2 linked regions of the Oryctolagus cuniculus genome follow. The protein of the gene in region 1 interacts with the protein of each later gene in a biochemical or structural test. Links are inferred from orthologs where the notes say so. Each region holds a gene or a part of one and is shown in the gene's direction. Other genes may lie near its edges.

Region 1 (4,021 bases):
TTCCATCCGATGGTTCACTCCCCAGTTGGCCGCAACAGTCAGAGCTGCGCTGATCCAAAGCCAGGAGCCAGGCTATTCTTCTGGGTCTCCCACATGGGTGCAGAGGCCCAAGGACTTGGGCCATCTTCTACTGCTTTCCCAGGGCACAGCAGAGAGCTGGATCGGAAGTGGAGCAGCCAGGACTCAAACCAGTGCCCAGATGGGATGCCAGCGCTTCAGGCAGTGGCTTTATCCCCTACACCACAGCACCAGCCTCCCACTTACCTCTTAGTAAACACTAATAATTTACTGTTGTACTGTGCATGATTCATATATATATACTTCCCTTAATTTAACATAAGAAGACTTGAGAATAATTTACATACCATCAAGCTCACCCATTGGCAGTGTGTATTTCAGTGACATATCCATAAATCCGTACACGTGTGTACTTTCAGAACATTTTAATCACCTCCCCAAATTCCTCTAAGCCCATCTGCATTCAGTCCTGCTCCCACCTCAGCCCCAAGTAAGCTGCTTTGTGTTTATATAGTTTTGCCCAGTATAATTTTTTAAAAGTTTGGTAATCAGAGGTGAGCATTTGGTGTAACAGTCAAGATGCCACCCGGGACCCTGATCCCGTAGCGGACTCTGAGTTCAGCCCTGGCAGTGCTCTCCACTCCAGCCTCCCGCTAACGGGCACCTGGGAGGCAGCAGGTGATGGCTCTAGTGATTAGGTCCCTGCCACCCATGTGGGAGACTCCCGCTGAGTTCTTGTCTCCTGGTTCCAGCTTTGCCAGAATCGGGGAAGTGAATCAGCACAGGGGAGCTTTGTGTTTGTCGTCTCTCTCTGCCTTTCAAATACATAAAATTAAAATCCGGCAATGAAAGGAGATTCTCAAGATAGATGCTTTTTAGGTACAAACAGGCTTAAAAATTATCGCAACCCTACAGTTCAAAAGTGGGCTAGTTTTAAATAAAGGCGGCCATCATCGTTATCACGCGTTCATAATGCGAAAACAAATTTTCTAAGACGAAAATTGAAGTGAAACTCTAGTCTGGGGATGGTAGAACCTGGACGGTGGGCCAGGTCAGTTACAGGCTCTGGCCACGCCCACCACACCTGCGCCTCCGCCCACGCAGGGGTCGGGCGTCCGCGCCCCACCCTGCCAAGCCTTCCTGTTGCGCAGGCGCAACGCTCCCTCTTCCTACCGGATCAGGCGGGGCTCGCAGCCCGATCTCGCAGCATCGATCGCGGTCGCTCGGCGATTGCTTCTGTCTGTCGTTTAGCTATGGCGCGCGCCGGGCCACACAGAGGCTGCTGGAACGCGAGTCGGGGTCTCGCTCAGTGCTGAGCGCCGAGCGGGGCCTAGTGGGCTATGGAGAAGCCCGGCTCCTTGGCGACGGGCTTGCGGTGCCAGAGCTGGTGCTTGCGGCGGGTGGGGATGAACGTCGAGTGGCTGCTGCTAGAGGACGGGCGCGAGGTGAGGGGGAGGGGTCCCGTTGAAGCGGAGGAAGGGGTTGAAGGAAGCCGGGGGGCCGGGTGCGGGGGTGGGGAAGGGAGCTGGGGGCCGGGAGGGGAGCGAGGCGTGACGGGTGGGTCCTGGGAGGGAGAAGGGAGAAAGGGGTTCTGGTGCCGATGGTTGAGGAGTCCGAAGTGGGAAGGACCGGGGCGAACTAGGGATCGAGTAGGGGACGGGAAGAAAGTCGGGGTGGGCTCGAGGGGAGACCCGCGGAGTTACGAGACGGGCCCTCCGGGGCCGAGGGCAGCCGAGCCAGCAGGTGCCGCTCCGAGAGGCCTGGGCCCGGGGGCGGGCTGAGCTGGAGGCCGGCGAGCGGGCAGCCGCCGTGCGGAGGGGCCCAGCGGGAGGGGGCGTGCGGCGGCTGAGGAGAAGGCCGGGGCCGGGGTCTCACGGAGGAACTGTCGCGGGGCTGGGGCGGACGCAGGGCAAGGGCGCCGACTTTGTCGAGTTTCTTTCGAAGATGATCCCGAGTTTGGGATTGTGCCCCTTAAAATACTCAGACTTTGATGGAGAACCGTCTTCCTTCTTTTCAACTTTTTTATTGGGGGGGGGGGGGGTGTTGGCGTTTGGAGATGGATCCCGTTTATCCCGTGACTCTGGGTGCCGCCGAGTGGCATCCCCCTGAGGTGGGACAGGGGTAGGGATTCAGAATTCTCCCCGGAGGTGGCTGGTGTTTGTTAATAAAGGCATCAGCGTCAAATTAAAAAAAAAAATTTTTTTTTTTTTGAGGAAAGGCAAGGCACGATTCCTGCTGGCGGCCGCTAGCTCTGGGTAATGGGCCTAGCCAGGCCGAGGGAATCGCTAGAGTTCGATTGCTGTCAGTTTGGGAAGGAGAACCGGGGTGACTGGGGCCCCCTGGACTTTGGAGATAATACGTATGAAAGGTTCACTTGGCAGTAATACTGGTGATAGGTTATTATGCCTTAAAGACACTTCGATTATTAGGTATGTTTAATTAGTGGTTTTTTTTTTTTTTTTTTTTTTGTAAGCTAGATAGTCTTAATTTAGTCTTCCAAGTGTTTGTTGAACGCTGAGAGGAACAGATGCCAACTTGTGCCCTCAAAGAACTCAGGCCGGGCATTGTGGCGCAGGCCGTTAAGCCAGGACCTGCCGCCATACAAGCCCCCTGTTTGAGTCCCGCCTGCGTCATTGCCATCCAGCTCCCTGCTAATGTGCCTGGCCAAAGTGCTGGGGCCTTAGCCACCCACATGGGAGACCCAGATGGAGTTCTGGGCTCCTGGCTTATATCTGGCCCAGCCACAGCCCCAGCAATTGTGGCCATTTGGGGAGTGAACCACCAATGGGAGATATTCTCTTCTTTCTCCCTCTCTCAGTCTGTAACTCTGCCTTTCAAATAAAATAAATAAATCTTTTTAAAAAAATTGTTCTGGCTTGTGGGGAAAGGGGATTGGCACAGGACAGCAGTCAGAACAACCTGGGGGCTGTGTGATGGAGTGCTGGATTATTTGCTCTGTGCTAGAGGGGTGATCCTTCCAGTCCTGCAGGGATTCAGTCCGGCCTTAAATGTTGCCAGAGGAGGGGGTAGCAGAGGGTGACTTTGTATGCTGTGCTTTGGTTAACATCAGCAAGACCTCTCTGCCTCCAAGTGTCTCTGCTGTCCAGGTGTTAGTTCTGGGAGTCACATGAGGCATTCATTCCTGTAGCCTGAGCCCTGCTGCCCTTTCTCTGCATGGCCCTTTCCGAAGGCATATACCTTTGAGAAACTTAACCGAGTAAGACACTAGCACCTGAGTAATGTAGTTATACACAAAATTAACTTACACGGTCACTTGTTTTTGTGTACACATAGAATTTATTTCCTATACCTATTCAATTTGTTTTTTATTTGAAGGGCAGAGAGAGACAGACAGATCTTCCATCTACTGGTTCACTCCCCAAATGTCAGCAACAGCCAGAGCTGGGCCGCACCAAGACCAGAGGCTGGAACTCAGTTCAGTACTCCTGTGTAGGTGGCAAGCTCCTACGTACTGGAGTCATCACCTGCTGCCTTCCAGGGTATTCACTGGCAGGAAGCTGGAATCAGAAGTGGAGTCAGAGGCCAGCACTGGCGGAGCTGGTAAAGCTGCCACCTGGAGTTTCCGGCATCCCATATGGGTGCCAGTTTGAGTCCTGGCTGCTCTACTTCCGATCCAGCTCTCTGCTATGGCCTGAGATAGCAGAAGATGGCCCAAGTCCTTGGGTCCCTCTACCCCTGTGAGAGACCCAGAAGAAGCTCCTGGCTTCAGATCGGCCCAACTCCAGCCGTGGTGGCCATCTGGGGAGTGAGCCAGGAGGTGAAGACCTCTCTCTCTCTCTGCCTTTGCCTCTCTGTAACTGTCTTTCAAATAAATAAATCTTAAAACAAAACTGGAGCCAGGCAGGACAGAAACCCAGGCCATCTGATATGGGATGTGGGCATCCCAAGCAATGTTTAAACCCTGGGCCAGATACCTGTCCACACATAACTGCATCAAGACCTTGCACATTCATTGCTCTTTCACACCTAACTGTAGAATAGT
Region 2 (2,684 bases), about 21 Mb from region 1:
CGCGGATGCGGCGCGCCAGCTGGATGTCTTTGGGCATGATGGTGACGCGCTTGGCGTGGATGGCGCAGAGGTTGGTGTCCTCGAAGAGGCCGACGAGGTAGGCCTCGCAGGCCTCCTGCAGCGCCATGACGGCCGAGCTCTGGAAGCGCAGGTCCGTCTTGAAGTCCTGCGCGATCTCGCGCACCAGGCGCTGGAAGGGCAGCTTGCGGATGAGCAGCTCGGTGGACTTCTGGTAGCGCCGGATCTCGCGCAGCGCCACCGTGCCGGGCCGGTAGCGGTGCGGCTTCTTGACGCCGCCCGTGGCCGGCGCGCTCTTGCGGGCCGCCTTGGTGGCCAGCTGCTTGCGCGGCGCCTTGCCGCCTGTTGACTTGCGCGCTGTCTGCTTAGTACGAGCCATCTCGCGCCGGTGGGACTCAAACTTCTTGTCTGCGGCGACAGAGCTGCCTTTAAATATCGTTAGGACTACTGTGATTGGCTTCCGGATTTTCAAAAAATCCGCGCGACAAACTCATTGGCTAAAGGAGGAACTTCGATGATTGGTCCACTCAGACAACCTGATTGGCCGGATTCATCCACTGTCCGTTTGGGATGGTAGACGTTTTCTAACATCTGGATCATTCCATCTCAGAAGCGTACCTAACCGTGGAGGGAGATTACCTCAGTAACAGGCCCTAGCGTGGACCCCGAAATCCCTAATTACCTGGGCCTGCCGTCTAATAGCGCCCGATAAACACTGAGCCACGGAAAGGTGCCCTGACTTAAGGCAAAACGCGTTTTACGTTTGAAACAGCTGCACCTCGGGGGCTATTTCCCGACTGACACACCCCCCGTCACTGTGTGGCCTTTCATCCGTCACAATAAATACACGTTTCACTTGTTTCCACAGTTTTCTTAAGCGCTAACGCTATCACCATGGGAAGGACTAATTCCAGTCAGGGTTAGCAGCTTTTTTGTGAAACAGTGGATGGCCCTGAAAAGAGCCTTTGGGTATTTCAAAGCGAGAGTTGCGTCGTCTTTACTGTGGTTTCACTTGCCCTTGGCCTTGTGGTGGCTCTCGGTCTTCTTGGGCAGCAGCACGGCCTGGATGTTGGGCAGCACGCCGCCCTGCGCGATGGTGACGCGGCCCAGCAGCTTGTTGAGCTCCTCGTCGTTGCGGATGGCCAGCTGCAGGTGGCGCGGGATGATGCGCGTCTTCTTGTTGTCGCGCGCCGCGTTGCCCGCCAGCTCCAGGATCTCGGCCGTCAGGTACTCGAGCACGGCCGCCAGGTACACTGGGGCGCCGGCGCCCACGCGTTCCGAGTAGTTGCCCTTGCGCAGCAGGCGGTGCACGCGACCCACGGGGAACTGGAGCCCGGCCCGGGAGGAGCGGGTCTTGGCCTTGGCGCGCGCCTTGCCGCCTTGCTTGCCACGCCCAGACATGGTACAGCCAAACACGCTTCGCAATCTGAAGTAAAGAAAACCATACCCGCCAAGACTGTGCTTTTATAAGCAGCGCAGGGCTACTACAGTACGTCATCCTATTGGTCGAAATAGGTTCGCCTTTTCTGCCCAATAGGAAAAGACAACCCGGATACCTTATTTGCATAAACAACCCCCCTAGAGAAAATTTCTTTGTTGTCCAATCAGAAGTGAGAAGTCTCAAACCCTCATTTGAATTACGGGACTATAAATATATGCACTCCGGCCTGTCATCACTAATCAGCTGTAGACTGAGTCTGTTTTAGTCTCTCAGCCAATATTAAAAGCAATGCCTGAACCCTCCAAATCCGCTCCCGCCCCCAAAAAGGGCTCCAAGAAGGCGATAACAAAGGCGCAGAAGAAGGATGGCAAGAAGCGCAAGCGCAGTCGCAAGGAGAGTTACTCCATCTACGTGTACAAGGTGCTCAAGCAGGTGCACCCCGACACCGGCATCTCGTCCAAGGCCATGGGCATCATGAACTCGTTCGTCAACGACATCTTCGAGCGCATCGCCGGCGAGGCCTCGCGCCTGGCGCACTACAACAAGCGCTCGACCATCACGTCGCGCGAGATCCAGACGGCCGTGCGCCTGCTGCTGCCTGGTGAGCTGGCCAAGCACGCCGTGTCCGAGGGCACCAAGGCTGTCACCAAGTACACCAGCTCCAAGTGAGCTCCCGAATTGGCGCCGCCGCCCCTCACCCCAAAGGCTCTTTTCAGAGCCACCAACTCTTTCACAAATAGAGCTGTGGCCGACGTCCTTGTATTTTGCTCCTGTTGAGGTGGGTTTAGGTCGGGTGTTAGGGCTGGCGTTAGTGACGACCCCAGAACGCGTGTTTATCCCGTGCAGGTCGGCGCTGAGTAACCTTAGGGCACTTTGGTCGGGGTCGGGGACTGGGGTTCGCGATGTGATGGGAGATGCGCATTTCGTGAACTCGGGTTCGCATGAGCTTTGAAGAGCCCCCTCTAACATCTCCAGCTCCTCGACAGTGAAATGGAGTGAAATTCCTGCAGTTCTCCCTGTTACCTACCTGTAGCCACTAATCACGTCGGCTAAGCAGTCCTTGAGTCTTCAGAAATCCATGGATCACCTATTGGATGGGGCGGATTTTTCTCAAGAATGGAGCCTTGATACTGGCTGGAGTCAGGATGCGATCTGAATCCCGCGCCTTTCCTGGTTCGCGGCCAGCCACTGGCTGAGGGGAGGGGCCAGGGCGCGTCGGGGCGGA

Evidence for each region. The genes of interacting proteins can lie anywhere in the genome.
Region 2: of the proteins of RNF8 (region 1) and histone H2B type 1-B, one has a biochemical effect on the other in vitro, tested with the Homo sapiens proteins (2 studies listed by BioGRID). The link is inferred for Oryctolagus cuniculus from reciprocal best matches to the Homo sapiens genes RNF8 and H2BC3.

The regions. Positions count from the first base shown.
Region 1 is NC_091436.1:132,286,898-132,290,918, reverse strand, and holds the start of RNF8 (E3 ubiquitin-protein ligase RNF8), read left to right. Parts: upstream 1-1,221; 5' UTR 1,222-1,358; coding exon 1,359-1,463; intron 1,464-4,021. UniProt on the Homo sapiens protein: E3 ubiquitin-protein ligase that plays a key role in DNA damage signaling via 2 distinct roles: by mediating the 'Lys-63'-linked ubiquitination of histones H2A and H2AX and promoting the recruitment of DNA repair proteins at double-strand breaks (DSBs) sites, and by catalyzing 'Lys-48'-linked ubiquitination to remove target proteins from DNA damage sites.
Region 2 is NC_091436.1:153,352,444-153,355,127, reverse strand, and holds histone H2B type 1-B, read left to right. Parts: upstream 1-1,419; 5' UTR 1,420-1,747; coding exon 1,748-2,128; 3' UTR 2,129-2,184; downstream 2,185-2,684. Other genes in the region: histone H3.1, read right to left, coding at 1-397; histone H2A type 1-B, read right to left, coding at 1,027-1,419. UniProt on the Homo sapiens protein: Core component of nucleosome. Nucleosomes wrap and compact DNA into chromatin, limiting DNA accessibility to the cellular machineries which require DNA as a template.